4 linked regions of the Arabidopsis thaliana genome follow. The protein of the gene in region 4 purifies or fractionates together with the protein of the main gene of each other region. This does not show direct contact. Each region holds a gene or a part of one and is shown on either strand. Other genes may lie near its edges. The genes, in order: AT1G28060, AT3G56790, MOR1 and AT1G12380.

Region 1 (9,549 bases), 5.6 Mb from region 4:
TGCAGAGCTATATGACATTCAAGCATAAACATTATACAACATCCACTACATGTATTATACACTAGAATAAACTGATTGTGGAATTTCGCCTGTGAGTAACTCTTTAAGTAGGGAGATTTATACCTTCTGAATTGGCCAACACAGCCAGAACCACCAAAGAAACAGCAACGAAGAACCACAGCCGCAGATCCGCTCGCCATCTGCGAACTGGACTTGGAAAACTTTGATTAACAGCCATAAGTCAGGGTTTTTAAAACAAAGAGTATCAAGGCGTATTAGCTTGTGAGACTTCAAAATGCTTGGATAGACATGTATATACTGTCAACAGAATATGGTTTTCTAGAAGGTTACAATCTTTTTTAAACTAGATAAGATTCCAAGGTACATAAAAGGGCCAGATAAGGCAATAAAACAGAAGGGCGGCCAGATGAAACGAGACCGGTCTGTACATTTATGAGGCAGTGGAAGTAAAAAAAGTAACTAAGTTTGTAGCTAAAAGGAAGCCTATGTGAAGAGACTTAAGGTTAAGGGTAAGGAGCTTCACTAGCTTTCACAAATCTGCCTCTGACACGCAACCTAGTGTCAGCTCTTGCCTTCCTCGATTCATACCTTATGGTCTTATCATATCTGTTGGCACCCGAGATCCAAGACAAAGGGAGAAACGAAATATGGTATCAGATTCTTTAAGGGAGATGGGCAATAAAAAATTATTAAAGGGGAAAGAAAAAAGCAGCATTTACCTCCGTGTCTTCCTCTTTTCCTTGTAACGCTGCATTGCATCTCCTCTGTTCTGAGCCAGCCGCTCCAGATCAGCCTTAGTTGCAACTAGTCTTGTGGTCTTACAACTAGTTCCAGCAATATGCTCTGTGAAATGCAAGTCACTGGAGGAGTTCGAACCTTTCTCAGAGCCAAAGGTAATTGGACGATTGTTGCTCTCAGATTTTGTTGGTTGTACCTGGCCTGAAGTTGATCGCTTGTAGTCATCCTGCAAAAGAATCCTAATCAGCATCACAGTTAAGTTGCATAGCAGTCTAGCAAATATATATCATAAGCCAAAATGTTAGAATTGGTGGCTTGGTGATGAGGTAAAACAAAGAAAAGCAAACCAGCTTGTAACTTTTTTCTGACTAGGTTTCATGTTCTGAATTCTATCATTCACTAAAAGAAGCAACTGTCTACAACAATTTTTGAGGATGAACGGGAGATGACAACGTATTGTGTTTTAAACACTACTCTACTTAAATGACTAAGGTTAATGAGAACTATTACCTTTTTAATCTCTTTGACACCTTTCACATTAGTGGAACAAGTTTCATTCATATGGTCAACAAAATTGTTGATTGTGAATGAAGAAGCAGCACCTTTCCCTACATATGCAGCTTCCACTCGACTCGTATCCTCAGGTCCCCGTGACTGTCCCAAGTTAAAATCCCATATCTGTATACAAGTTCACAACACAGGTTAAGAAACCTTTCATTTTTTTATCTTCTTGAGAAACCATAAAACCACACAGAGTGACTATATTTGACCTTACACAAAAACATTTCACCACTTAATCTCACTTGCTCATTAACAGAAAAAACTAAACTGTTCTTAGCCAAAAAAATCAAAAGAGAGATAAGCAAAACCTGAGAACTCTGGCCACCACTAGGATTAGTAGTAGTAGCATTCCACTGCTGGTTAACTCCTCCTCCTCCGCCACCATTGATCTCCTCAACATCTCTTGACCATTTCAATCTCTCTGACATCTCCGGAACCATAAGCCCCTCTCCTGCTTCTCCATCTCCATCTCCATCACAAGCACCCTCACGGTCACAATCACGGTCACGATCACCATCATCGCCATCACCACCGACAACACCACTCTTAAGCAACTCCTCAAGCTGCTTACACAATACCTGCTTATACCTCCCACAACTAGATCCACAAGATCCACGCTTCTTAAACGTCGTATCGCTGGGAACAATCAATTCATTAGATCCCAAAACCCAAGAATCCAACTGCATCCCGAAATTATCCATCATCATCGCCATCATCGGAACTTGATTCTCTTCATCTTTCCTCCCTTGCTCCAAATCAAGTCCCCATAAAGCAGCAAGCTCCAACGCCGATGGACAACCGGAAAAACCTTCCACGGCGGATCGAACATGAGCATCGGAAACTGAACAACTTCCGTGAACATCCCAATCACACTCCTGACACAAAATCAGATTATCGGTGAAACACCGAACAGAGACTGGCTCGTTACCGCAATTATCGCAGATCTGAGATCGCACGTGCTTCCTCGACAACAGATTCGCCGTGTGAACTTGCTGATCACAAGGCAAACACAGCTTCGCCGTATCGGCTCTACAAAACAAAACCGCCGTACGCTCGCCGCAGAAATCGCACGGTACTCTCTCCGAACTACTCATAACTGACTCTCTCTCAAAATCCCTAAAATTCGAAATCAAAATCAGAATTTATTTTCAGAGACTAAGGACGGTGAGAAGAATGATGACAAATCCATTTCTCACGTTTTTCATTTTGAACTCTTTTTTTTTTTGGGGGGCTTTGTCAAAATTATCTGCAAATCTTTTGGAATGAAGAAGACAACGAAGCTAATTATTGTAAACAGTTTGGGGTTAGGGATTTGTTTTTCTGTGTTGCGATGTATGGAACTTGTGTATGATGGATTGTTCAGATTGAGATATGTTGAGATCTGACGGTGTAAAAGCGTGCTGAGAGAGTCGCCATTGTTCAGACGGCGAAGCTTACGTTGACTGTGACAGAGAATCTAAGAGAAAATATCTAATCTGCTTTTTCACCTAAATATCTATTTTAACGTATAAAGGGAAAGTTAGTTCAAAGCACATGATTTTTATGGGATTAATTCTTTCCGTATATAGCAATAACTTTTTGATCAGTGTAATAACGGCTGGAATCGTCTTTTTCTGGAACTAGTATTTACGAACATTGCAGCGTAATGTATAGCATATATTTATGTGCATAATAAACTGCTACACACGAGTTCTTGACAAAAGATGTGATAAAATTAAAATCGTAAAGATATTTTAGGATTCATGTTAGATATTTTCTTTTTGTCCATAGACTTCAATAAGTTGTTTTTTTTTGTTTTGAAAAAAAGTATAACTTATTTGTAAAGTGCTATCATTCTGAGGTATAAATATCTTGAAAAAGTTCCTGGGGAGTGGTAACAATCGGAACGATTCTTGACTAACGCATTAAATTTCACGTGTTAGAGAGTTTGTGATTCAGACTATACATAATACAGTATATGAGCGGGTTTTTTCTTTTTTGAGTCAAAGCGGAATATATGCGTTATATACTTCTATATTTGAATTCTTGAGTTTTGATCGAATGTTTAATTTGTGGTCAACTTGTGGAAATCTCTTGGCAAAGAAATCTTATTTATCCAAAAAATAGTTGGTATGAAAACTCTTGGCAAAGAAATCTTGTTTATTCCAAAAATAGTTGGTATGAAGAGTTTGGATTTCTGCTTGTAAGAAAACTGCGACCTGACATCAAATATTTTTCTTTTTAAAGATAAATAGCTTGAATTTTCATATATCTCTATAGAAGATGAATCGTCGATTTTTTTTTTTTTAAGTAAAAGATGATATAAAAGCCCATTAGACTCAAAATTGAAGAACTATCTCAAGAAGGAACTCAAAAATGGGCTTCAGCCCATAAGGGAAGCTTGTAGTCCGGTGATTGGATTATATATCTTCCGGATCCGGTATCGTTTCGCTCCCTTTAGGATTTTTCCGGAAGGAACAAAAATCTGATTCAGAACTTGGTTTCGCTGGTCGTTTTGGTTCTAATCTGAATCGCTGGTTTATTCCGGTTGTGAATTTTCGTATATTTATAGGACCGGCGAATCAGAAGCAAATTGTTGTTAGGAATAAACCCTAAATTCTGCCATGGATAAGGAGAGATATTCCAGGAGCCACCGTGACGATCGTGATCGAGATTCGAGTCCCGACCATTCTCCACAACGTGAAGGAGGACGCCGCCGTGACCGCGATGTTGATTCGAAGCGTCGTGATTCAGATCACTACCGTTCATCGAGGCGCGGCGATAGGGAAGATGAGAGAGATAGGACCAAGGATAGAAGAGGGAGATCTGTAGAGCGAGGCGAGAGAGAAGGGAGTAGAGATAGGGAAAAGCATCACCATGAGAGGTCTCACGAAGGTAGTAAAGAGAAGGAATCGAGGAGCAAGAGGAAAGATAGAGAGGAAGAGAATGGGGCTAGGGATGGGAAGAAGAAATCTAGGTTTGCTGATGGGAATGGTGAGAGGAGGAGCAGGTTTGAGGATGTGGCTATTGAAGTTGAGAACAAAGATGCTCAAGTCTCTGAGGGTTCTGGGGCTACGAATCCAACCAGTGGCGTTACGATGGTGAGTTCTTTATACCTTTTCGTTAATCTTCTTTGTTTGCTACTTGCGATTTGTTCATGATTACCTCTAGTCTTCTTCGCTAGCTAATGCTTGCATTTTCTTTTTTTGTGCAGGGAGCCTCTACATATAGTTCTATTCCATCGGAAGCTTCTGCTGCCCCTAGTCAAACACTGCTCACTAAGGTATCTTCGATATCTACAACGGATGAAAATAAGGCTAGTGTTGTCAGATCTCATGAGGTTCCTGGAAAATCTAGTACAGATGGAAGACCATTGTCCACAGCTGGGAAAAGTAGTGCAAACTTGCCTCTTGATTCATCAGCGTTAGCAGCGAAAGCTAGGAAAGCACTACAATTGCAAAAGGGATTGGCTGATAGATTGAAGAACCTTCCTTTGGTAAGATGTACAGATATTCTATACTTTTTTGCGTTCATTCTTCTCTGAAAACTTTGTATTTGATAAATTGCTTTTCTTATTCTCTGTGCAGCTGAAGAAGGCTACTAAGCCAACTTCAGAAGGTAGCCCACATACCAGAGTGCCACCATCGACTACCACTCCTGCTGTCTCTACAGGCACATCTTTTGCTTCAACATTACCACATACTGGCCTTGCTGGCTTTGGGAGTATTGCCAACATTGAAGCTGTTAAGCGAGCCCAGGAGCTGGCAGCTAATATGGGATTTCATCAGGATCGAGAGTTCGCTCCCGTTATTAACCTATTTCCAGGACAGGCACCCTCAGATATGACTGTTGCACAGAGACCGGAAAAGCCCCCTGTTCTGCGCGTGGATGCACTAGGAAGGGAGATAGATGAACACGGAAATGTGATTAGTGTGACTAAACCAAGCAATCTTAGTACATTGAAGGTCAGCAATGTTAATTTGAATATCTTAAGTTTTCATGTTTTTCTTTATATGATCGAGCTTCTAAAGTACTTGGATTTTACAGGTTAACATAAACAAAAAGAAGAAAGATGCTTTTCAGATTCTTAAACCTCAACTGGAAGCAGATCTAAAAGAAAACCCCTATTTTGACACAAGGATGGGTATTGATGAAAAAAAGATTCTGAGACCTAAACGTATGAGTTTCCAGTTTGTTGAGGAAGGTAAATGGACAAGAGATGCTGAAAATTTGAAGTTTAAGGTATGCATTGTCTTTTGTATGGATTCTTTTTGACGATATTCTCTCTTGGTGGTCTTTTAGATGTCTCATTGTGTGTATTTCTGTCTTTTCTTTATAGAGTCATTTTGGTGAAGCAAAAGCGAAGGAGCTGAAGGTGAAGCAAGCACAACTGGCTAAGGCAAACGATGATATAAATCCAAATTTGATAGAGGTATCCGAACGTGTCCCGAGAAAAGAGAAGCCCAAGGAGCCAATTCCAGATGTTGAGTGGTGGTACGTAATTTCTCTCACCTTACCCTTTCTGTTAATGCTAAGTTGTTTTGTTTCTGATTTGACATTCACTTGGCATAACCTTGGTGGAAACAAGTCATCCTGCACTTAAAAACTGAACTTGTAACGATTGGAGTATTTGATGACTGTGATGAATCACCATAACAATAACTTTAGTTTGCTCTCAGCTACGGATGACATTCATATAATTTGTTTGGTGTTCTTGTTGCTCATGTTGGTTTAGGGTTGTTTGTTTGTTTTTTGAATTACTATCTAGTTTCGTTTAGGTGGGATATATACAATTAATATTTCAATTCTTTGATTTCTTTGAGTGTTCGCATATGTGCTTTAGTTTTCCACATACAACTTCTGAAAGTTCAATGGTTTTGTCATCAGCAACGGTGTGATTGGTAGTAAAATATGGTAACATGAATCTACTGATGATTATGATCTACTTAGTACCTTTCAATGCCAGCCCAAATAGTTAATCTAGCTGCTTTGTGCTCTGTCGTTTTGGTCTATTTTCTTGGTATATGTTCATGATGAGTCTTCTTAGTTCATAATTGTTTTATGTTTCAGGGATGCAAATGTCCTCACCAATGGCGAATACGGCGAAATAACTGATGGCACCATTACTGAAAGCCATCTGAAGATAGAAAAACTTACTCATTACATTGAGCATCCTCGTCCCATAGAGCCACCTGCAGAGGCAGCTCCTCCACCACCCCAACCTCTTAAACTGACAAAGAAGGAACAGAAGAAACTGCGAACCCAGAGGCGTCTAGCAAAAGAAAAGGAGAAACAGGAGATGATCAGACAAGGGTTGCTGGAACCACCAAAAGCAAAGGTGAAGATGAGCAACTTAATGAAGGTTCTTGGTTCTGAAGCGACCCAAGACCCAACAAAGCTTGAAAAAGAGATCCGCACAGCAGCTGCTGAGCGTGAACAGGCTCATACAGATAGGAATGCTGCCCGGAAGCTAACTCCTGCAGAGAAACGTGAGAAGAAAGAGAGGAAGCTTTTCGATGATCCAACAACGGTTGAGACGATTGTGTCGGTGTACAAGATCAAAAAGTTATCGCACCCTAAAACAAGATTCAAAGTGGAGATGAATGCAAGAGAGAACAGATTAACAGGGTGTAGTGTGATGACGGATGAAATGAGTGTGGTTGTGGTTGAGGGCAAGAGCAAAGCGATAAAGAGATACGGGAAGCTGATGATGAAGCGAATAAACTGGGAAGAGGCAGAGAGGAAGGAAGGGAATGAAGACGAGGAAGAAGAAGTGAATGGCGGAAACAAGTGTTGGTTGGTTTGGCAAGGAAGTATTGGGAAACCGAGTTTTCATAGGTTTCATGTACACGAATGCGTGACGGAATCCACTGCCAAGAAAGTTTTCATGGATGCTGGTGTTGTTCACTACTGGGATCTCGCTGTCAATTACTCAGACGACTAAATCCTCTCTCCCTCATATCATCATCATCACCTTGAAATGCGTTAACTATTTGGACATGTTATTGCACTTCTATGAACATATATTCCCCTGGTGTCTGGTATTTTAGTTTTTGAACAAGAAATGATCTGTTTTTTACTAGGTAAACTGTTTAAGGTTGATGATACAACATGAATTATCTGAGTCACAGCCAAAAAAGTACCATTGGTTAAGTATGATTATGACTTAAAACAAAACTATAATGTTTTAAAAATATCGAGGCCACTAACCGATAACATAATTATGTGTACAGTCAGAAGAATGAGCCGCGCGTGTAGATGGTTGGACGAAACGTGCGACAAGATGCGAGCCTGAGTGCTCAATATGTACCTGACAGCTACACCTCCTCCAGCTTTCTCTTTACCCAACAATTCTCCACCAACACGGGCGCGTGACCTCATGAAAATCCCCAAACTACCCTCAAACTCTGTTTTTTTTTCCTTGATTAAAGAGTCTTCCTTCGTGTTTTTCTTGTTTTCATTCCTTCCAAATATCTATCTCTTTTGTTTCTTCTTCTTCTTCTCCTCTGCTTTTGGAATCATTATAGTGATAAGAGGAGATGGCGGATATAACAGAATATCTAGAGAGATCGATGCAGAATTGTTCACTTATTGATCGGAGAAGTAGTATGGGAGATGGATTTGGTATGAGCGATGAACATATCCCGATCTCAGATAGATTCTTGGAGCTCAGTTCTCACTTCTCTGTTCCTTCTCATTTGGAACAGTGTCTTGATCTTAAGGTAAAAGAAAACTCACACAAAAAGAAACAGATTCCTTCCATGTTTCCTTATAATTGATCTTTCAATTTTATTTTGTTTTGTCTCAAAATGCTCAAAGGGTTTTGGTTTCAAGCTTGATTTGTAATTGTATGGCTAAACTAAACGCCTTAACTGATAATTCTAGTATTTTCTTTCGTTTTGGGGAATAAATATGTTTGAAATTGCTATGTAGCATCAAATTTTGAGATGCTGAGGTGGGGTTTTTGTTTATAGACAGGAGAGATTTACTACAGAAGCTGGAATAGTGGAATGAGAGTGAAAGAAGATCCGAGAAAATCGATGAGTCGTGGTAACTATGCAGACCAATCCAGTGGTGAATCGTCTGGAACAGTTTTTTCATCAGAAGAAGTTAGCTCGTATTATGAAAGCGAAGAGTCTTCATCAGAGTCGTCTCCTTCATCAAGAAAGTATCACAAAGAGGAACAAGACGAAGATGTTCTTGTGGTAGCTGGTTGCAAAGCTTGTTTAATGTATTTCATGGTACCTAAACTCTTTAAGGATTGCCCCAAATGTGCAACTCAGCTTCTCCACTTTGATCAACTTCACTCTACTTCTCCTTGAACCTATCTTTCGTTGTTGATTTTTTTCTCATTTCATTTTCAGTTTTCTTCACATAGATTTGAGGGTTGTCTTCTCTCTTTTTGTCTTTTAATCTCTTAACTCGTATATGTATAAACTAGTGTTCGTGTTGTGGCATTATATTTAAAGACAATGTCTCAAAGTTGTTGGAAAAGAAAAAAACAACAACATGGATTAGTGAAAAGCAGATCAGACTGTGTAAACTAAATAGATCGGATAGAAAAAACAAAACAAAATGTGGTTAATGGCTTAATGCAGATCCGGTGGAACAAGTGCTAGTGATTGCATGTGTTTTATGGGATTTACGTAATCGTGAGGTTGCTTGAATAGACTGGTGTGTTTTTATGGGACTAACTGATCTGTCAGGTTAATAATATCGATTGGTAATGAAAGGAGAGAGTCTTGAGAGTTTTGTTTAGGATAGTTGTTGCATAAAAGTTGGTCAATGAAGCTTAAGACTCGCGCGCTGCGTGGAAAGAAAATTTAAAAAGCATAATGATTGCAAGCATGTGATTTACCACAATTTCTGTTTCTTTTGTTTCCCATTTTAATTTATAAATCAAAAGTTAATCCTTGATTATTTTTTTGGTTTTGACCAAAATAAAAATGGCTTTATACAATAAATTATAATCGAACCATAATTGAATGGCATTTCCCCCTAACATTGTCAACTTTTGCAATCATACATATAATATATTGAAATAAAAATGGCAGTAATTCACAGCAACTACAGCTCACATTCAATGAACAACTTATACGATCAATTAATTATTAATGCAAACAATCAAAGAAGAATTATCATCAGAACTAGTGAGGCTCATTTCTGTCACATTAAATGTTTAATAATACTATATATGGAAAAGTCAAATTATAAACAAGATCTTTGGGTTGCATTAGCTATATCTCGGGA
Region 2 (6,120 bases), on a different chromosome or scaffold from region 4:
AAGAGATCAACGTCAACGACGACGACAGAGTCATGTGGCACGTTGCCCCTTGTGGTGCGGAGGGTAAGACGGAGCTTGATGGAGAGCGTGAACCAAGTTTGTGATGACGTGGCATCTGGTCAACGAAGAGAGGTCGCTAAAATCGGTTTGGCTCTTCATGATCACATCTGTCGCGACTTGATCGCAGAGACCGTTCGAGAGCTCTCCTTCTCTGACTACGACGACGACGAGTTTTATCAATCGCCGGTGGATTCTTCTGTTTGTTACGGCGGAGGAGGTAAAGGCCAACACATCCGACGTGGCAGCAGCAACTCTCTCCCATTCGACGCGTGTCGAAGAAGATTAGTGTTTTGATGCGATTGATATCTTTAGGTTCGTTGTGACGGTTATGGAAGTCATAGTTGCGACAATTTTCACCTATGACACTTGTTGTTTAAATTATTTTATAATTTTCTTAGCTTATTCAGAATTTAAGACATATCTTTCAATAGAGTGCAATTGGTTGTTTAGGGTTTAATGAATGATACACTATTTGCATTCAATATAAAAACTTTCCCTATTTGATGAATTCATGTATATACTAGTACTACATAGATTTCCTTAAATAAATGAATGATTAACAAAATCAGAAACAATATATTCATCTAGATACAGATATTAATGTTTTTTTTAATAACTCATCCTATATTTTAAAACTCGATCGTTTTCTCTTTATATATACCTTTCTTAAGTTACCTTATATACATAATTTAATCATAGAATTTATTAAGAAATTGATTAGACGTATCAATTATATCTTGAAGTGATTTTGATTGTTTGAAAACGAAATCTAATCTAATTAATTTGCAGGTGATATTGTACTTAAGTTAACAATAAAAGAAACTAATTATTTGTTTTCAATGGTGAGGAGGACTACTTAAATTCAAAAGCGAAGCCAATCATAAACAGACATCTGTACTGAGAGAGATCTCGAGGACCCAGCGAGAATGCTGACGTGACAGTCAAGTCAACGCTCCGCGTACAGACCGCGTGAACGTGTGATCCGTTTAATTGTCCACTCTGGCGTTTTATAAGAGAAAAGAAATCATTGATGATAGCATTAACGCAATTACAGTCATAATCCGAGGTTATAACAGAGATTTTTCCAAACCCGGTACGGGTTAAAAAAAAAAGCTTTTAAAGTCCCGGGTCGGAGCAAAAGTCGTTAATAGCTTCGTACCCGATAAATACGGTTGCTCTCTCGTTTTTTCCAGCAGAGACACTTTTTCTAATTTTCTCTTCTTCTTCTTCTTTCTCGTTTTGAGAGAAAACAAAAAAATTCTGAATCTACAGGTTTCACGAAAAGGAGAAGAAAAAAACAATGGCGGATCAGCTCACCGACGATCAGATCTCTGAGTTTAAGGAAGCTTTCAGCTTATTCGACAAGGATGGTGATGGTACGTTGTTGTTTTTTTCTCTCTCCCTCTCGCAATTTCAAATGTTTTTGAATACATAGGATTTTGCTACTGTTGGATCTTGGTGTCTAGCCATAACTGATTTGATTTCTGTTCTTCTTGTTGATTCAATTGATCTGTGTCGATGTAGATAATTAACGGATCTGTAATTCGTGATCTCTAGACTCGTTCCTTGTTTTTCAATTTTTGTTCGTTTGTTTCCTGGATTGGATTTGAATCGAAATTTGGATGATTGATGACTTGGAGATTTGCCAATTTGTTATCGATTTGGATTTAATTTTCCATCTGAATTATTTTATCTCACTTTAGATTTGAGAAGTTAATGACTAGAAACTGTTAATTGAGAAGTTTGGGATCTAGCTAAAATGCTTCTCTACAGAGAAACCTGCTTTGAGTTTCGTAATTGAAGATATTTGATTGAATTAGATTTACAGAGAAGTGAATGATGAACAAATTCTTGATTTGCTTGTAGGTTGCATTACCACCAAGGAGCTGGGTACTGTGATGCGTTCCCTTGGACAAAACCCAACCGAAGCAGAGCTTCAAGACATGATCAACGAAGTGGATGCTGATGGTAACGGTACCATTGATTTCCCAGAGTTCTTGAACCTTATGGCTCGTAAGATGAAGGACACCGACTCTGAGGAAGAGCTCAAGGAAGCATTCCGGGTTTTCGACAAGGACCAGAACGGTTTCATCTCAGCAGCTGAGCTCCGCCATGTGATGACAAACCTTGGTGAGAAGCTTACTGATGAAGAAGTTGATGAGATGATCAAGGAAGCTGATGTTGATGGTGATGGTCAGATTAACTACGAAGAGTTTGTTAAGGTCATGATGGCTAAGTGATGCTGTTTTAGAACCAAACAATGGCTCTATAAACTTGGTTTGCATCTCTTACATATAAATTCTTATGTTATGTTCTATAATTTTTATTCATGGGACTCGAGGTATGTTTTCTGCTTGTTTAAGACGCGAATGTTTTATCCCTTTTATGCTCTATTTTGCGTCTGAACATTTTCAAAAGTCTTGTTTTTTTGTTGTCTTGCTCCTGTAATTTGTAACCTTGGTCTAGTTCGCGGTTTTTTATTAATGGTGTCTCTCTAGTAAAGCATTGTATCATGGTTTTGTGAAATGCAAATTAGGTCCTATCAATGACTAAAAAGGTCAAAACGTGGTGTGGTGTGTATCATTAAAAAAATAGAAACCGACATAAAAGTTTCCAATTCGTGGTCGTTTAAGAAAAAGGAAAACGGCATAAAGTTTCCTATTCGTGGTTGAATTGGGATCATTCAATTGATGTGAATATAGGTAAAATACCTTTGTGTTTCTTTGTTCACGTTCGTTTCATACTTCCCCTAAATTTGTCTCATCATGGATAACAAGAAGCAGAGATATTCCAGGAGCATCCGTGACGATCGTGATGAGAGAGATAGGACTAAGCATCATCATGAGAGGTCTCACGAAGGAAGTAAGAGGAAAGATAGATCAGAGGAAGAGAATGGGGCGGCTAGGACGACAAACAAGAGTTCTAGGTTTGAAGATGTAGCTAGGTTTGAGAAAAGGCCGTATACTTGTTCTATTGCATCGGACACTACTTCTAGTCAAATCCTTGAAGCTGTTAAACGATTTCAGGAGCTGGCAATAGATACGGCTGTTGCACATAAACAGACCAAGGGCTTTTTTCTGCGTGTAGATGTACTTGGAAGAGAAATAGATGAGTATGGGCATGTGATTAATCTTAGTACATTGATGGTTAACAACAACAAACACAAGAAAGATGTTTTTCAGAATATTCTTAAACCTCCCCAACCTTTTAAATTGACAAAGAAGGAAGAGAAGAAACTGCAAACTCTAAGGCGTGTGGCAAAAGAAAAGGAGAAACAGAAGATGATTAGACAAGCGTTGTTTGAACCACAAAAATCAAAGGTGAAATTGAGCAACCTAATGAAGGTTCTTGCGTCTGAATTAGCAACCCAAGACTTCTTCTTATGAAGAGTTTCCTTCTTCTCATTTAACAGATTAACTATGAAGAGTTTGTTAAGGTCATGATGGCTAAGTGATGCTGTTTTGGAACCAAACAATGGCTCTAAACTTGGTTTGCATCTCTTACATATAAATTCTTGTGTTATGTTCTAATTTTTTTTTTGTGTGGGACTCGAGGTATGTTTTCTGGTTGTTTAAGAAACGAATGTTATATCCCTTTATGATCTATTTTGCGTCTGAATATTTTCAAAAGCCTTGTTATTTCTGTTGTCTTGCTCTTGTAATTTGTAACTTGGTCTAGTTCGTGGTTTTCTATTAAAGGTCTCTAGTGTCATTGTTTTTTTAAATGCAAATTAGGTCCTATCAATGGCAGTCAGTTTACGTTAAATTGATTTCCTAACGGGGCTCATTGAATAGCTTCAAATGATCAACGAAACAGAAGGCCAATAAAAACCTAAACACAAGAGAATGTGAAACACCTCAGTAGAAATTTTAATGAAACATTGAATTTAGTGAAGCATCAAATCATAAGATGTCCGCGAGTTTCTTCCAAATATTAGCAATCATTTAACAATTTGCTTTGTTTCTTATAATTTCATTCAAAAGAACTTCACATGACTTTGAACCTCTTGGCATCGAAGCTAAGTCCTCTTCAATCTGTTGCTTCGCTTCCACTTCACATGGATATGTCTTATAGAAGATTTTTGCCGTTTTCAAACAAAGCGCATGGTTCAGGAGATAACTCACCAGATCCTTATCTCCGTATCTCCCTGTGTACCCTTTCCACTCTAGAGCTTCAAGACTGGACAACAAACATTCGGGAACCAAACTTGGCGGTTCCCAACGACCCAACGGGGTTAGTAAGTAAACCTGCGATCACGAGAAAAAATGGTAAAACTGCTATTAATAATAAGATCATTGAGGTCGAATATTAAACACTAGTATAAATTACAATGGTAAAGGAAAAAAGGGAGAAAACTGAATACATGTTCAAGCTTGAGGACCACCAATTTAGTGAAACATAGGAGCAAATCTACAAGCATTTCCACAGATCTTTCACTACATATGCTCAGCTCCAGATGCACGATTCGACTGAAGGTACTTGCATCCTAGAAAAAAAAGAAAAAAAAAACACGATATTTCATTTATGTGATGGTTCCAACAAGATATAACACGAGAAAGAAACGACATGGAATGAAAAAAGTTACCTCTAATTTTGATGGAACTCCGAGCCTAACCCGTACAATATACCGGTAACGGCTTGCATATGCCAACTCTTGAATGCTGAAGTACTTGAAAGAAGGTGCGATAATCGCAAGCTTTCGAGTGTAGTTTTTCATCAAACTAAAAATATGCTTGGAATCTGCATCGACTCTTGTGATAATCGACAATCTTTGTAAGTAAGGCATGTCGATATCCAAATTCAACAAAACATCACTGGTTTTTTCTTCCAGTGTTAGGTCGGAGAGAACAGGGCAATTGGATAAAAGCCGACAAAAGGAATCATTGTTAAAGTCCTCCATGCGGGCAACATGGAGAGTTTTGAGGAGTGGGAGACATACCGCGGAAGAAGAAGAAATGCTTATCACATCCTTCAAGCCTTCGAGTTTCAAGGCCATAAGTGTTTTACACCAAGAAACGTCGTACTCAGCAAAAAAGAAACGAGATTCTCTTATGACCATTAGGTCAGTAATAAAATTGCAATTGGATAAAAGCATTTGAAGGGATCCAAAGTCGAATAAACTCGAGTGGTCAATGTGCAGAGTTTTTAGGGATGGGAGAGAGACCGTTGTAAGAGGAGCTTCCACATCGATCACTATACCTTTGAGTTTCAAGACAACAAGTGTTTTGCAGGTAAACAATTCAGGAGGTAATACGGTATGGACAATACAAGCATCTATCTCTAGCTCACGGAGGTGGCAATGATGATGATGAAGCGCGGTTCTAATCCATGGTCCAATGTCTTTATTCCACAGGGTCACACTTAATTCGACATGAAGGCTTTCTAGAACATGAGATTGGTGTGAGAACAGAGACTTGTCGAGAAATCGTTCAAATCTAGTGTGATCCCGAACATCGTACTTGAGTATAGGCACCCTTGTCCAAAGAGATTTCCATTTTTTTGACAAAAGACTTGTCACTACAACATGTTTAGTAGAAACGAATGACAAAATCTTCAAGATCAAATCGTCGGGCAACTCGTTGATACATGAACAAACCTTCTTTGTCATTGTCTCTGTTTAGGTCGAAAAAACATTAGACTATGTTTAAAACCCTAATTACAAATAACTTGTTTAGGTCAAAACTCTTTATTGCTTATCAAGTTTCTCCAATAACTAATAAATATAATTTCCAACTAATACTTACGAGATTTCGTGCGAGGTAGATTCTGAAGATCTGGAGTCTGGAGTCTGGAGTCTGGACGAAGAGGATTCACCGGAGTTATGAGATCTCACAAACCCTTCGACTTCCCCACAAAGAAGAAGATAACCAGTTAGTATGAACTTAAACCGATCTGATTAATGTTCTGGTTCAATTTCTTGGTTCAATCATATCCCTCGGTGTGTTTATATGGGCCAAGTAGAAAACAGAGTCTTAAAGCCAATTAATTTCCTTCTTTTCAATAGAAAAGGATAAAAAATCCATTACATAAAAATGCAAATGAGAAATATCAAAATTGTGC
Region 3 (7,967 bases), on a different chromosome or scaffold from region 4:
AGAGTGATTCAACAGTTTACGACTTGGTTATTTTCAGCTACACTGCTGCAAAGCTAGTAACAGGGTGCTATCGTACACAACGTCACAAAAAAAATTATAACTGCTTTGCCAGATCAACCGTAGAAAGATTTATCAACCATAATTTACAAAAATTTGGTTGGGGAAATGGGTATATATAAATTATACTTACGAGTCCCTCGAGAGTCTAGCGAGTAGGCCGTCAGAAGGTATTTTTCCCACCAGGAAATTGTTTGAGACATTGCTTCAAAAGAAGATCAACATAGTTAGTAACATTGACACTCATATATCTACAGGACTGCAAAATAAAATACGCAAGTTAGAGATTAGCAACTCACAATTTAGTAAGCCTTTTCAACTGCCCAAGTGAAGCAGGGATAGCTCCATTGAGATTGTTGTTTGAGAGGTCCCTTCATAAATGAGAGTCAAAAATCATAGTAGTTCAGAAGAATGTAGATGATATGCCCATTTAATATGAAAGAAGCCTAGCATAGATTTACAATTCTCATCATCATATTTGAGAGTTTTTCACCCGGAAAAAATAACACAATACGTGATTAAATATAAGTTATGTCAAACTCCCTATAATTTTTAGGGTTCACCACGACTGTAGAAATAAGTACTTTCGAAAACATTATGTTGTTGCTGCATGGAAGATCAGAAGAACCTCTTGTAGTTCACAATATAATTATAGAGGATACTAAATGGTGAGAGTAGATAGCAGAACAACAAATAGCAGATCCTAGAGAGGCTAAGAAAACAAATCCACTTGGAAGAACGAGGAAAAAAACCACGTACAGGTTTTTCAGCCCGGACAGGTTTCCTATTTCACTTGGGATTGTCCCAGTGATGTAATTATTCTGCAAGTATCTGCAAGGAATAAAAGGACAATAAATTATAAAAGATTCACAACGATTCTTGTCAACTAGCTAAACTTGTGACTGAGTTTATCATCACTCACAAGACGCATCAATATTATGCACCAACTATATAGAAGCAAATAAAGAAAAACACTAGTAATTGTTAGGAAATAATATAAAATTTGGAAAAACAAAACGAGAATTCGATCAGCAATGAAGTGTAATCACACTAATCAGCATAAGTATTTGGGAAAGCCCTTACATTCCCTCTAATGCCGTGCAATTTCCCAATGAGGCAGGTATTGATTGATATAACGCATTGTTGTGAAGCATTCTGCAATGACATGGGAATACACATACAATGAGTAGTAGAGCATATGCTAGACATCAATAATATTAATTAAAAGGTTAGGAGCACATACAAAAGCCTTAACTGATCCAGCTTTCCAAGCTCAGGGGGTAAAGGTCCCCTTAATTTGTGATAAGTAAGACTCCTGCACACAAGAAACTTCAGGAACCGACAAAAGATGCACCACATACTGAAGAAAAAAAAAGAATTTAAACTAAAGAAATTTTAAACTTACAAGGCTATAACTCTTTTTGTTTTTGCATCACAGGTCACTCCTTTCCAGTTACATGGATCAGGATCCTCTGGTCTCCACAGACCAATAACACCATCAGAAGCCAAAACTCCATTTCTAAAACTCAAAAGCGCCTCACCTGGAGAAAAAAAGGATTTAATCCCTTCAGCAATCTGGGCGGAGTAAATGGTGATCATGACTTGTCAAAGACAAAATATAGAAGAGATTAAAGACACATATCGCTGTATACCATCAGGACTAATTGCTTCATTTTCATTCGTTAGTGCAGAGAGAAACGAGATCAAAAGAAACCATGAGCAGCAGCGCTTCATTAGACAGATGCCCATTATGGCACCGTTCAAGCATAATATAGCTACTGCCAATCATCTGAAAGAACAGCCTCCGGAATGCAACACTCGTAGCATATACTCAGCTGCTCCGTGACGCCCAGTCTATCTTCAAGAAACAAAAAGAGACTCCTGAAGTTAAATAAAATAATGTCATTAGACCGTACAACAATAACAGCTGACCCTCATTTGAAACTCTATCAAGCCTCGATCTTCCAATAATCAGACAACCAAATCCTCAATTACAAATCAAGCGTTCCACAACATCGATGCACAACATTTGCATGGTCTCATTAACAATTACAGCACCCAGAACAGTGAGATTATCTAATCGGATCAAATCCACCTCCCAAATTTGCAAAATCAGAAATCGAACCTTCAGAATAAAACCCCAACTCATTATTTAAAGAGGAGCTCGGATAGCTAAAATCGAACTTAAATCACGAAATTCGGAGGACATCATTGCAATCACAGCACAAGAAGAACTGAAGAGTCAACAAAACCATTCAATAATCTAAAAAAACGAAATCGATTCGCCGATAACTCAGACCAAAATCTCACTTCCCCCAAAAAAATGGCGAAAGAGAATGGGAATTTACACGAACCTCAAAATGGATCCGCGAGGAGGAAGATGAAGATGAAGAATAAGACAGAGGAAGAAGACGCAATTGAGCTGTAAAGCAATGTCTTAACTAACAACTTTTTTTTTTTTGTTGTTGTTGTGATTTATGAGAGAGTGAAGAGAGAGAAAGTAGAGTGTGCAGTGGAAATGTGAGATACTTTGGAGAAGGAATCGGCTAGTTACGAGTTTACGACCAATGAGAGAGGAGAAGTGGAGACCACACGTGCCGATCATGACTTATTACACGTGTCGACCGACGCATTGTATAATGCCAGAACTGGACAAGGGCTTGTTGGGTCAGTTAAAACATCGTTATTGCGTGGGCCTACTAAAGCCCATTGTTATTTATTTGGAAGCGTACTGTACTTTACTATCTTTAGGGACAATTCTTGTATTTTCAGCTTTAGCGGATCTTATTCACCTAAATCAAACAAACAAGTGTACTTAAAAATGGAACAAACAATGGACTGATAATCATTATTTCATTTGCTTTTATAATAGAAATCAAAATATTAATATTGGATTCAATCTTTCCACGTAACTTCTTGTTTTGGTAATTTCATCTATGATTCTTATAAATTTGGTACCATTGTAAAAATATGGCTTAAATTTGAGTTGTTGTTTCATGTGTTAGCAGTAGACAAGAAAAGATATCTGGAGATAGAGAGTTACATCACCTAAGACATGAGGATGGAGATGGAAAAGGTGTAAGGTGTGGTGTGGCTTAAATATTCTTGTACTAATTATCAATCAAAGTTTGTTTGAAATTTGAGTATTTGTATTCTGAATTTGAATTAGATATTTCAAATATATTAAAATCCAAAGCGAAATCAGATCCTAGCATAAATATTTAGGATATTAAAATAATAAATTTTAACTAGTTTTTAAATCATAAAATACACAATGTTTTTGAACTTCCATAATCAAACTAATAAATCCATTTTGGTTTACGTGTCTAGTTTTATAGAAAATGACTATTTATTTGTATTTTATAGAAGAAAAGATAATCCAATAAGTAAGTAATAATAACTCATGATTTTGTTGATTTTTTAAAATAAATATTTTTATAACTAAAAATGAGTTATTCATTTCAAAATATTACTTTATTTTCTTAGAAATTAATAGATTGTTAATGTAAATATATTTTGAAAATATTTACAGAACCAACAATAGGAAAATTCAGTACTGTTAATCATTTCCTAAAATAGTTTGAAAATGCCGATCTCTCCACGTGGAGAAAGCAAAAGAAAAACGCTCGTTTTAAGATTTGAAATAATCGCGCGTGTAAACATTTCCAATCAAAACGCGCGTGAAGGGTTTTTAACAAAAAAATTACACCACCGATTTAAACGTAGAAACCAAAATTCCCCCACTCTCTCTCTCTCATTACGCTCCACCCTACTCTTCTTTTTTGTCCTTCTCTCTCTCTCTCTTGCCGGCACTAACAACACGAAGAAATTTTTTTGAAAAGAGAGAGAAAGTTTCCAAGAGACCGTACGAAGAAAAAAAAAACTTGGTATAGATCGATAAGATCGATACCGTCGGAGAGATAATTTCGTGGAGTAATGTCGACGGAGGATGAGAAGTTATTGAAGGAGGCGAAAAAACTTCCTTGGGAGGATCGGCTTGGGCATAAGAATTGGAAAGTTAGGAACGAAGCTAACGTCGATTTAGCTTCTGTTTTTGATTCGATTACTGATCCTAAGGACCCTCGTCTTCGCGATTTTGGTGAGTTTCTCTACCTCGTTTTTTTATTATTATTATGTTAGGGTTTTTGTTTTTGAAGCTCAGATCTGATTAGGGTGGTTTATATCGGTGTGGATCTGTTTTGAATTTGGATTGTTGAGTGGGAATGTGATTGGTCTAGGGTTCCATTTTGCTTTACTTTTGATTGAATTTCTGATTATTATTTTTTATTCGCAGGTCACTTGTTTAGGAAGACGGTGGCAGATTCTAATGCGCCGGTGCAAGAGAAAGCGCTTGATGCATTGATTGCGTTTTTGCGAGCAGCCGATTCAGATGCTGGAAGGTATGGTGTTGTTTATTTTTATTGCTTTAGAAATGGGCAGAGTGGAGTGTTCGTTTGCATGTGAATAATTAGTTTGTTTCTGCTTTTGAAGGTATGCAAAGGAAGTTTGCGATGCTATTGCGCTCAAATGCCTTACGGGTCGGAAGAATACTGTGGACAAGGCGCAGGCTGCTTTCTTGCTTTGGGTAGAATTAGAGGCCGTCGATGTTTTTCTGGTATGTCATTCATTCTATGTTTTTGCAACACTGCTAGGGTTATCTAGACACATACGGTTAACCCTTGCACTCTGATGTATAGGTTCACCATCTAGCCATAGAGTTACTTGCTAGATTGCTGATACTGGTATCTGAAACTAGATAGGTGAGCTGACATAGAAATGAAAGTGCTTTATAACCCAGAATTCAACCATATACTGATCTTAGAAGGAGTGACGTAGAATATAGCATTGTGGCTCTTTGTCCAGTTCTGTGTTATGCTAGGTATCTAGTGTGGCATAGGAAAAGAGCAATTTAAATAACGATGACTGACAGATGTCCTGAGCATCCTGTGTTCAAGGTCAAGAAACAGAATCAACTTTCTGGGGTCTGTTCCTATAATCACCCTCTTCAGTAACCAACATTTCCAGTTTTGAGTTGTTGTCACCGTGTCTCAAGCTGTTGGACTTCTGCTATGAATAATACTTATTTCTGAAGGAGAAAGGAATCTAGATACCTTCTTTATTGTTGTTTTCAAGATATCTACCATAGTGTTTTGTTCAAAACATCATTTCCTTCAGAAGTTTTAATTCACTTCCCAAGTATAAAGTTGCAATAACTCTACTTGATATGCATTGTTTCAGTCATTTCAATTTTCAACTGCCAACAAGATATATATTGGGAGACTGGGAGTTGTATAGTTTATAGGATAACATCGTTTTTATACATGCTAACAGATTTGGCATGATTGTAGGATACGATGGAGAAAGCTATAAAGAATAAAGTTGCAAAGGCTGTGGTACCTGCAGTAGACGTTATGTTTCAAGCTCTAAGGTCTGTTTTCAACTCCTTGTTAGTTTTCTCCATTGGTTCATGAAATCTTTTATCTGAAATATCGACGCTACTTTATTTCTACCTTAGTGAATTTGGATCAAAAGTTATTCCACCTAAAAGGATTTTAAAGATGCTTCCTGAACTTTTCGACCATCAAGATCAGAATGTCCGTGCATCTGCCAAAGGAGTGACTCTTGAGCTATGCCGTTGGATTGGAAAAGACCCTGTAAAGTCTATATTGTTTGAAAAAATGAGGGATACGATGGTAAGATTTATGTTGAGCCGCACATTTGCAACTTAGCTATGCTGCCAAGTTGATATGAACTGGATTAAATCCTCTTGATTTTTCTTGGAATTGGAAAACTGAAACAGGGGTTTCTAGTCATAACAGATAGATAGATGATAGATCCCATTGCGGATAAGAACCACACCTTACCTGTAAATTCTGCCCATGATTTGCGTTTTTCTTTAATCAGTGGAAGAAGTTACACTTGAATTTTTATTTATTCTCTTGTGCTTTGTTGCAAACCCTAATATTCCGTTTCATTGTTACTATGTAAGAAAAAAGAGCTGGAGGCTGAGCTTGCCAATGTTACAGCGGGTGCCAAGCCTACTCGAAAGATAAGGTTACTACCACATACGATAATAATTGTTTAATTTTCCTAATTATTCATTGGCACATACATCTAATATATTTTGACATTTATTGGTAAGGTAAAACCAGATCCAGTTTCACCGTAATTCAGCCTATGCTTTGTGAATACTCAATGTGCCTCTGTCAAATTTCTGAATAATTGAATTGATATGCATGAGTATTTCTTTTTGGTTTCAAGACCTTTTTCTAGCCTGTGTGAATTTTAAAGTTGAAAAAGTAAAGCTGCAATGAGATTATTTCTGTATTTGGCTTTCAAGATCTGAGCAAGACAAGGAACCAGAGGCAGAAGCTAGTTCTGATGTTGTGGGTGATGGGCCCAGTGAAGAAGCTGTTGCTGACGGTAAGTAGCTTGTACCTCAATGAATTGTTCTTCATCAAGTAATAATGAGAAGTCTGCTTACATTGTTTTTTCTTTTATCTACCCGTACTATCAGCGCCTCAAGAAATAGATGAGTATGATCTTATGGATCCTGTGGACATTTTGACACCTTTGGAGAAGTCTGGGTTCTGGGACGGAGTGGTGAGTTTTGATGCTTAATGCACATTTTACTATGTTTTATTTCTTGTGGTTGTCTTTCACTGAAAGAACTTTTTTATACTATACCACTTACTTCTCATGTTGATTGCATGTGGCACATTACACTAACTAACGATGTATCCCTTATAGAAAGCTACAAAGTGGTCCGAACGTAAAGAAGCTGTTGCAGAGCTAACAAAGCTTGCTTCGACTAAAAAGATAGCTCCTGGTGATTTTTCAGAAATTTGTCGGACTTTAAAGAAGGTAGTTAACTTTCCATGATAAGAAGTTTAGGCAGCATTGATTATATGTATATGTTATAATCCTTGTTATGTTTTATTCCGTAAGTGGAATATTATCTAATTGGTGATGATGCAGCCTGCAAACATCTGTGCTTATTGATTAATCTGAAGTTCGAAGTTCATGCGTTTCAAAATGTTTTCTGGTCGCAATCATAGTTTGTGGATGCTGCTATTGTTCAGGATTCAATACTGCATAACTAATTTTGCTTTCGTTTTGATAATATTTGTAAATATTTCCAATTGCAGCTTATCACGGATGTGAACTTGGCCGTTGCAGTTGAAGCTATTCAAGCCATTGGAAATCTTGCATGTGGTTTAAGAACACATTTCTCTGCTAGTTCACGGTTTATGCTGCCTGTTTTACTTGTGAGTCATGTAGCATCTTTGATCGAAAAGTATAATTGGAGGAAGACGCTTCCAGTCTTATGAGTGTTAATACTATTTCTTAGATATTAATGGGCTTAAGTAGCTGACTTGGTTTTAGTCCAGGAATTGATACAAAATTGCTGTCTGTTTGTTCCTTGAACAGGAAAAATTGAAAGAGAAAAAGCAATCAGTCACAGACCCACTTACACAAACGCTACAAACAATGTACAAAGCCGGGTGTTTGAATCTTGTTGACGTTATAGAAGGCAAGAGTCAGTTTATCTTGGATTTTATTTTATGAAGCTCTACTGATTTGCTTATGATTATCTTTTTTAGATGGCGACCAATTTTGCTTAAGCATCTGTCTTTCATCAGTTTCCAATCAACTTTACTCTCTTTTGCAGATGTGAAGACAGCAGTGAAAAACAAAGTTCCACTTGTGCGTTCTTCAACTTTGACCTGGTTGACATTCTGCCTTGAAACAAGTAACAAAGCTCTTATTCTAAAGGCTCACAAAGAATATGTCCCTTTATGTATGGAGGTTAGTTTTCTTGCGCCAAATGGCTCCTAATAATACTTTGACTGAACTTTAAAGCATGGCACTGTTAGATTAGCTATATGCAACAAGTTAGTGCTAAAAAG
Region 4 (8,450 bases):
AGGAGGTAGAATACGCATAGAACTCCTTGAACAATGAACTCCGGTAAAACCACTGAGTTTATTCTCGACGCAGAGTCGTAAGGGTTGATGTAATCAAACTCGAGATCCGCTAAGCAAACAAGCTGCAAATGAAAGAATTCAAATTCAGAAAAGAGAAGTTAGCTTCCTAGAAAATGTCTTCCCAAGCTGTTTATACATGGAAGATTCCGTTTGCTAGCTTATCAGTCTCAGTGACTCCTCTCATTAGAGTCTACACAAACAAAACTAAAGGGTTCACTTCATTATGCCGAAATGGAGCTCATTTATAAAAGAACAACCTGTGCTTAAGGAGGTAAATCCTCAGACCTGACATGAACATCCAACATAAGAACTAACTATGAACCTATAAAAGTGTTTTGAGAAGCCAATACGCACTATATATGTTCCTGAATTTACTCCTTTGATGATAACATTCCCAAAAATTACACCTTTACTTCTTCCAAACATGTGACAAGAACATAAAACCCTAATTCTAGCTAAATCACAGACTACCCAGAAACAAAAAAAAGGCTCCAAATGAATCAAAATGGACAAATATGGTATCATTATAACCGTAAGCGAAAAAATTGGCAAATTCCGATAGAAAAGTTAAGAACTTTGGGTTTATTTATCCTAGAAATTGGGAATCGCACCTGATAGACGATGATTCCGACAAGAGCGATGAGGAAGAAGAAGGAAATAAGCCATGTCCAGATATCTCCCATCTTCCTCCTTTTGGTTCCGACAATTTCCTCGGATCTATCCTCGTTGTTTCTTGGTCTTCTCTCTCTCTCTCTCTCCTCCCAATAATGTTCGATGAGGAACAGAGAGAAAGTTAGGACAACGACTTAGTGGTCGGCTAGTTTTGACAGTTGAGCTCGAGATTCTGATCGGAAACAAAGAAGCCTAGAGAAGGCAGGCACGAGACTCAGCTTCCGGTTCAGTTTCCGGTTAAAATCGAATTCGTTATTTCCCGAAGTACGTACCATTTACGCCGGTTTAATATTTCAGTATTATGAATCTATGATTTATAAGCCATTGGGCCTCTATAGATTTAGCCCAATTAAATAGTAAACAGTTTGGGTTTGGGCACGAGAGCCGTGTAATTTTTGTTGAGTCGTGTATAATTTTTTTTAGGTCATTGTCTTATTGTATAGTTTTAAGGAAATCAAAAATGAAAAATTAAAAACAAAAATGGTACCAGAAACCATTCAATCATGTGATTGAGAAAAGCCAGCTGTTTTCTAGTACGAAGAAAAACAAGCTTCATCTTTTCCATGTATTTTTCTTTCTTTCTTTTCTCAAGAACGGTGAATCCATAACTTATAATTGCAAGGATTAAGAGATTGAGATTATGAAGGATAGCATTTTGGAATTGTAATATGGTTTAGCTTAGTCGGATTTTCCTCACTAATTATAGATTCTGGCCTCTCTAGTGTGGTTCAATTAAGTTGTAAAATAAAGAAGCTATGTTAGTAACTAAATCCATCCAAGTTCAATAATCAAATAATTACTATCGCTATCAATGTAAAAGGTGGCATTATTTTTATTTCAACTATTATTATTTCTTACATGGTATATATATATTTATTTCGGGTATAACACGATATAGTGGAGTGGTTGGGAAAAGAAGTTCTCGTACAAGATTGTAAATCAAGCAATTTACGTTTGATACAGTAATAATCAATATCAGTATTTTTTTAACTGAAAGGATTGGCTCTTCGTTTTCACTAACTGGAAAATGAAGATTCAAATTTATAACATACCTATTTTCTGTCAACAGTTACTTATTTTTAGTTAATATATGCATTTAGGGACCAATCTTGAAATCTCATTCCACGTATGAAAAGTATCATGCAAAAAAGTATATATCAATTCTAAACATTTTATTTTCAAATTTCATTCACAAAATCAGCATTATTTTATTTAAGTGGAGATTAACGTAAGAAGTTACTTTGATATATTGTTACATTGTTTACATTGTAGACACCTTAAGTTAATAAAACGTATGACAAAGTGATGTTATTAATAGTTCTCATCACTATATTGCAAACGTCGTTTATCAAAAAATAAAATTAGAGGGCATAATCCATGGTTTTTGGGTGGTTGGTATGTAACAGACAAGATCATTCTTATAGATAGTACTATCCATCTTTTTAAGATAGGACTGCTCTAAATTATGTGGTAAGAAATTAATTTTCTGCCTTTTTATTATATAGATACAGTTATGGGTGGATTTTGTATATTAGACTTTAGAATTCATTGATCATTCATACATATAAGCATGCATACATGATACTTCTACATTAGAAGGTGGGAGACAGTTGTGACATGGATTTTATGACATTAGATATTGACCAATTAAAACTTGACTCCTACTAACCTCCACTTATAACTTTAATTATACGTTTTACTAAGAGAGATTTACAAGTTCAAGTTCAAGACACTTTTTGCATTGGAATAAGAGTAGAAAATCAAGGGTAAAATATAGAAAGACTTATGTGTGTGTGTGTGTATGTGTGTGTGTGACACATAAGAAATAGTCTTTGTTGTGGTTAATTAGCTGGAATAGTTGATCAAGAAAATGTGTTTTTAATATTCATTAGTATGAGTTTGTTCGCATTGATATGGTTTTATAGGTTGTATTAAATTATTCATAGATCAACGACATACTAAAGTAAAATTCTAAGTTTTTGGCTATGAGTGAAAAGCATGTGTACTTTGTTGGACTGCTACAGATTGGTTGGTATTTAGCTAAATGTGTCCATTGGCCAGTAATTTTATTTAGGTAAATATTGGTCCTCAGTCATAATTTTATTTAGTGTGTGTTCATGTTTTTTTGGGTTTTTACTTTTAACTAAAAAGAGGTAGAAGTTGTGAAGAGTACAAAGGATGTTGTTATTCATGAATCATGACTTCAAACTTCTAACGACGGCCAAGACACACATGATTCATGAACATTCATACAAAGCAAATGAAAGCAAAATTGCTATTGAGATTAACAAAAAGTAAAAAAATGGTTGGAATTAGTAGGAACCAAAAGTGTCGGTAAAAAAATGGAAGTTGTAAAAGGTTGCAGTCAAAAATAAACAACTTTCAACACAAACCAAAAAAAAATATTTACAAAGAAATGTACTTTATGAGTCAACAGAAAATGGTCAACACAACACAGTCTCTGCGTTAATGTCTTTCATTGTCTATCTAGAAACAAAAATTAAATTCTCACTCTACCCTTTTATGCCCAAATTCTGAACTCATCCCACGTAGACAATAGGACACAAATGGAAATCCCACTCACCCATTTTTTTCATTTTTGTAATCAAATCCAAAAAAAATGTTCAAAAAGTGTCTTCAACGTTCACATAATCTCTAACTAAATTCACAATAAGGATTCTATAAACCGAATTAATCATTTAGATTTTTTTAAAAACTCAGCCTATGTTAATAATTCTTTTTTTACCAAAACTTAGAGCCTTCAAAATTCTCAAGATCCCAATTTTGTTTTTTTATCCGTTCAACTGAAGTTACGAAAGTACATTACCATTGGTGGTTGAAACTGTATAGCACAAGAAAAACATTTATAAAGATTAAGAAGAGAAAAAATCTAAATAAAATGCATTAAATTAAGGTCCCAAATAGTTCCAATTTTTTTTTCTTTTAAATATTAAAGTAGGAGACAAGAAAAGAGATTTTCGAAAGAAAAAAAGAAACAAAAGTTGAAAGAAAAAAAACACACATAACAAAAACAATCCCCCAAAACCAACTTAAAGCGCGTGACTAAAACGCTCCAATGATGAGAAAGCGAGATAGACTACGAGCCAATGTAACGTTTGTGTTCTCGTACGACGTGGGACTCTCTTCTTTCACCTCCATGCGCGTGTGCTTCAACCTCCTCTGTAACTCTCTCTCTTTCTTCCATATTTCTCTCCTCTTCTTCTCCGCTCTGTCTCTTTCTTCGAAAAAACCATTCACAGTCAAGAACAAGAGCTCACTAGAAAGAAAAAAAACTAAAGAAGTGAGTAAAAATTTCATTTCTTCTGATCGCCGGAAAATGGCAGCGACGTTAAAGATCGTCGTCTTCCGGCGAAATCCTACTGCTGAAGAATGTCACACGTAAAATCCAACTCTCGCTTAAAACCCTTTTAGCAAGAGCCTCGAAATTTCCGATTTAGAAACTTTTTTTCTTTCTTGATGGCGACGACTAACGCTCACACGGCGACTCAACAGACACCACCACCACCACCTCCTCCTCCTCCAGCTCCTGCTCCTCCGGCGATGGATGGGTTAACAACAGACGAGCTAACAGCAAAAGCATTAAACAAGAGATACGAAGGTTTAATGACGGTGAGAACAAAAGCAGTGAAAGGTAAAGGCGCGTGGTATTGGACTCATCTTGAACCAATCCTCGTACGCAACACCGACACTGGTCTCCCTAAAGCCGTGAAGCTTCGTTGTTCTTTATGCGACGCCGTTTTCTCCGCCTCTAATCCTTCACGCACTGCCTCTGAGCATCTCAAACGCGGCACGTGTCCTAATTTCAACTCTGTTACTCCCATTTCCACCATCACTCCTTCTCCTACCTCTTCCTCTTCCTCTCCTCAAACTCATCACCGGAAACGTAACTCCTCCGGCGCTGTCACCACCGCGATTCCTTCTCGGCTTAACCCTCCTCCCATCGGAGGCTCTTATCACGTCACGCCGATAACCGTTGTTGATCCTTCTAGATTCTGCGGCGGAGAGTTGCATTATTCAACTCCTCCGCCGCCGCAGCATTTGATGCTCTCCGGTGGAAAAGATGACTTGGGTCCTTTAGCTATGCTTGAAGACAGTGTGAAGAAGCTTAAGAGTCCTAAACCGTCGCAGACTCAGTCTCTTACCAGATCGCAGATAGAGTCAGCTTTAGATTCTCTCTCTGATTGGGTCTTCGAGTCCTGCGGCTCTGTTTCTCTCTCGGGTCTTGAGCATCCAAAGTTTCGAGCTTTTTTAACACAAGTTGGTTTACCAATCATCTCCAAGAGAGATTTCGCCACCACGAGATTGGACTTGAAGCACGAGGAAGCCAGAGCAGAGGCTGAATCGAGAATCAGAGACGCAATGTTCTTCCAAATCTCATCGGACGGTTGGAAACCAGGAGAGTCCGGCGAGAGTCTTGTGAATTTGATTGTGAATTTACCAAACGGGACGAGTTTGTACAGAAGAGCGGTACTTGTGAACGGAGCTGTGCCGTCTAACTACGCAGAGGAGGTCTTGTTGGAGACGGTGAAGGGTATTTGTGGAAATTCACCTCAGAGATGTGTTGGGATAGTCTCTGATAAGTTTAAGACCAAAGCACTGAGGAATCTGGAGAGTCAACATCAATGGATGGTGAATCTTTCTTGTCAGTTTCAGGGACTCAACAGTTTGATCAAAGATTTCGTAAAAGAGCTTCCTTTATTCAAATCCGTTTCACAAAACTGTGTGAGACTAGCTAAGTTCATCAATAACACCGCGCAGATACGTAACGCTCACTGTAAGTATCAGTTGCAGGAACATGGCGAATCGATAATGCTTAGGTTGCCTTTACATTGCTATTACGACGATGAACGTAGAAGTTGTAGTAGTAGTAGTAGTGGTAGTAACAAGGTTTGTTTCTACGAGCCGTTGTTTAATCTTCTTGAAGATGTGTTGAGTTCCGCTAGAGCAATTCAGTTGGTAGTACATGATGATGCTTGCAAGGTTGTTTTAATGGAGGATCATATGGCTAGGGAGGTTAGAGAGATGGTTGGTGACGAAGGGTTTTGGAACGAGGTAGAAGCGGTTCATGCTTTGATCAAGCTTGTTAAAGAGATGGCTCGGAGAATAGAGGAAGAGAAGCTGCTTGTAGGGCAATGCTTACCTCTATGGGATGAGCTAAGAGCTAAGGTTAAAGATTGGGATTCTAAGTTTAATGTAGGGGAAGGACATGTGGAGAAAGTCGTTGAGAGAAGATTCAAGAAGAGTTATCATCCGGCTTGGGCTGCGGCTTTTATACTTGACCCTCTTTACTTGATAAGAGATAGTAGCGGAAAGTATCTTCCTCCGTTCAAATGTTTGTCGCCAGAGCAAGAGAAAGATGTAGATAAGTTGATAACAAGGCTTGTGTCTAGAGATGAGGCACACATTGCGTTGATGGAACTAATGAAATGGAGAACCGAAGGGCTTGATCCTATGTATGCAAGGGCGGTCCAAATGAAAGAGCGTGATCCGGTTTCCGGAAAGATGAGGATAGCGAATCCTCAAAGCAGTAGACTTGTTTGGGAGACGTATCTTAGCGAGTTCAGGTCACTAGGAAAAGTTGCAGTAAGGCTCATTTTCCTCCACGCTACGACTGGAGGGTTCAAATGCAACTCCTCTCTTTTGAAATGGGTAAACTCGAACGGGCGGTCACATGCAGCCGTTGATCGAGCTCAAAAGCTGATCTTCATATCCGCTAACTCGAAATTCGAAAGGAGAGATTTCTCAAACGAGGAGGATAGGGATGCAGAGCTTCTCGCTATGGCTAATGGTGACGACCATATGCTAAACGATGTTCTTGTCGATACGTCCTCAGTGTGACATTTGAATCTCTTTTTTGATCAATTTGATTTCACCTTAGTTTTTCATTAGAATTTGGCATTTCTTTAGGATTGTTTAAATTCATTTCTTTGATTTACTAGTATCTCATTCATACTATCATTAATATTCAATTTGTACTTGGTTTCTTTAGAAGGTGATTGAGAGTATTTGTATTTCTTTAGTCTATATAATATACCATCATAATTTTTCGATATAACATATGTGTCTATTTCAGTTTCTTGTCCTTATCATCGATGTATCGGTTAGAAGTTAGAAACTCTAATTAATGACAGCTTTTGCTTCTTCGTCTCTTGGTACAATAGTGTAATGATCCCACTCGCTTTTTTCATCGGAAATTCATATTCTTAATCATGACTTGAAAACATATCTTTACTTTTCGAGAGAAAATGACTTAACTTTTGAAAGTTTAATGTTCTTTCTTCATGATAACGTTTGTTGTTGGCAATGACAGACTAAAGATGCATATACTTTTGATATCTTGAGTTATTGAAGAGCAAAACCTGATTAACGGGTTTCAATTTAATTTTAACCATGATTATGATTATGAGATTATCTATCTATATCAATCTATTAAGTCTTTTAGAAGAACAAAAATGTGGATCCCCACCATGAAAGCAAGTTTTTCTTGGCTATTGTATACAAGTTCATTTTAAAGCTGTAAAAGGTGAAATTGTGAGATTGTAAATGTGAAGAACCCTTTTTGATGTTTATAAATGAAACCTTGTTAATCTTTTTGTAGCAAGATGTGTGATTTACCCATGATTTTTTTACGGCTATGAATAGTTGGAAAGGTTAAAAGATTTCTTCTTTATTTATGAGCCCATGGTATTGTACTTTGTGGGGTATTTAAAAAACTGTAACCCATGATTTATATTCTTGTAAATCATAACTTTATCAATAGTACCACAAATTTTGAAATCTAGTGGCAAGATTTCATAAATGGACTGACCGGACAGCTAAAGTGAAATTACACAAATTAAGTAAGAACAGTGAAAGCAAAGAGAAAACAAACAATTATTTCGAAATAGTAAAGAGAAATACAATTATTTAGATGCTATTTTTCCATTTAAGTTACAGACAAATAGATAAGTCAAGTACCTCTTCTTCTTTTTTACACACATGCTCATACACACACATACACACAAACAAATATGTACGACATTCTAAAACACTGTTATATTTAATAAGTAAGTTTCATACTTATGTATTGTTAAATAATAAAGTCGAATCTATATATAGGTTACTGATTGAAGGAAATATAGGTTTTCACTTAAATTATTTAAGAAGGAATCATTTTCATTGGAGTGGTAATTTGTAACTATGCTGAACAAGAGGGGAACCCTAAAAGTAGAAATCAATAATTAAATTTTATACCCCACAAATAGCAAAGTATACTACTTTTTTCTTTTATATACACTTTTTTTTTTCTCATTGTAAAACTTTGAACTTTCTAGCATGCATTATATTCACTTCGCCCACCTCCTCGAATAGTTGATCTTTAAAAAATCAAAACTTAAATTAGGTAATAGTTATAAGAAAATCTTAGAATACATCGGCTTTCACTTTTATTACTACTGCATGTACATCATCATTTCAATGAAAATTAAAAGACACAGAAACACAAGTTTTTTTTTGTCAATATATTAAATAATATGAGTTCATATTTCGTGGAAATAAGAGGGTAGTGTAATTATGTACTCATATAATTACAACCTAAATAAAGTTGTTGTAATTATTGGTTTGGTATTTTCACCATTTTGGTGGTGAGGCAGAATTTCCTGTCGGCAATGCTGACTTCTCACCAAATCTCTCTCGAATTATATGAATGTGTATTTGAT

Evidence for each region.
Region 1: the proteins of AT1G12380 (region 4) and AT1G28060 fractionate together in Arabidopsis thaliana (co-fractionation; one large-scale study listed by BioGRID). This does not show direct contact.
Region 2: the proteins of AT1G12380 (region 4) and AT3G56790 fractionate together in Arabidopsis thaliana (co-fractionation; one large-scale study listed by BioGRID). This does not show direct contact.
Region 3: the proteins of AT1G12380 (region 4) and MOR1 fractionate together in Arabidopsis thaliana (co-fractionation; one large-scale study listed by BioGRID). This does not show direct contact.

Annotation. Positions count from the first base shown.
Region 1 is NC_003070.9:9,775,244-9,784,792, forward strand, and holds AT1G28060 (Pre-mRNA-splicing factor 3), read left to right. Parts: upstream 1-3,607; 5' UTR 3,608-3,739; intron 3,740-3,759; exon of another isoform or gene 3,760-3,871; 5' UTR 3,872-3,923; coding exon 3,924-4,400; intron 4,401-4,513; coding exon 4,514-4,795; intron 4,796-4,886; coding exon 4,887-5,264; intron 5,265-5,346; coding exon 5,347-5,541; intron 5,542-5,638; coding exon 5,639-5,793; intron 5,794-6,369; coding exon 6,370-7,243; 3' UTR 7,244-7,623; downstream 7,624-9,549. Other genes in the region: BBX13 (B-box type zinc finger protein with CCT domain-containing protein), read right to left, coding at 525-627, 741-985, 1,270-1,437, 1,629-2,414; AT1G28070 (ATP-dependent RNA helicase), read left to right, coding at 7,839-8,021, 8,274-8,621. UniProt on the Arabidopsis thaliana protein: Functions in the RNA-directed DNA methylation (RdDM) pathway. Acts as a pre-mRNA splicing factor, likely by affecting Pol V transcripts. Affects DNA methylation of transposable elements (TEs) and preferentially influences NRPD1- and ROS1-targeted loci.
Region 2 is NC_003074.8:21,031,161-21,037,280, reverse strand, and holds AT3G56790 (RNA splicing factor-like protein), read left to right. Parts: upstream 1-2,825; coding exon 2,826-3,446; 3' UTR 3,447-3,504; downstream 3,505-6,120. Other genes in the region: AT3G56810 (uncharacterized protein), read left to right, coding at 1-354; CAM3 (calmodulin 3), read left to right, coding at 1,361-1,436, 1,927-2,300; AT3G56780 (FBD, F-box and Leucine Rich Repeat domains containing protein), read right to left, coding at 4,005-4,307, 4,424-4,546, 4,646-5,668.
Region 3 is NC_003071.7:14,962,835-14,970,801, forward strand, and holds the start of MOR1 (ARM repeat superfamily protein), read left to right. Parts: upstream 1-3,739; 5' UTR 3,740-3,993; coding exon 3,994-4,156; intron 4,157-4,351; coding exon 4,352-4,457; intron 4,458-4,548; coding exon 4,549-4,672; exon of another isoform or gene 4,673-4,976; coding exon of another isoform or gene 4,977-5,039; intron 5,040-5,405; coding exon 5,406-5,485; intron 5,486-5,572; coding exon 5,573-5,750; intron 5,751-6,046; coding exon 6,047-6,111; intron 6,112-6,397; coding exon 6,398-6,480; intron 6,481-6,574; coding exon 6,575-6,660; intron 6,661-6,807; coding exon 6,808-6,921; intron 6,922-7,205; coding exon 7,206-7,325; intron 7,326-7,488; coding exon 7,489-7,591; intron 7,592-7,729; coding exon 7,730-7,866; intron 7,867-7,967. Other genes in the region: FEI2 (Leucine-rich repeat protein kinase family protein), read right to left, coding at 191-262, 357-428, 817-888, 1,141-1,212, 1,301-1,372, 1,463-1,598, 1,710-1,806. UniProt on the Arabidopsis thaliana protein: Microtubule-binding protein that is essential for cortical microtubules organization and function. Essential for maintaining the interphase cortical array and for correct morphogenesis.
Region 4 is NC_003070.9:4,212,640-4,221,089, reverse strand, and holds AT1G12380 (uncharacterized protein), read left to right. Parts: upstream 1-3,677; 5' UTR 3,678-4,209; coding exon 4,210-6,591; 3' UTR 6,592-6,832; downstream 6,833-8,450. Other genes in the region: AT1G12390 (Cornichon family protein), read right to left, coding at 1-122, 672-743.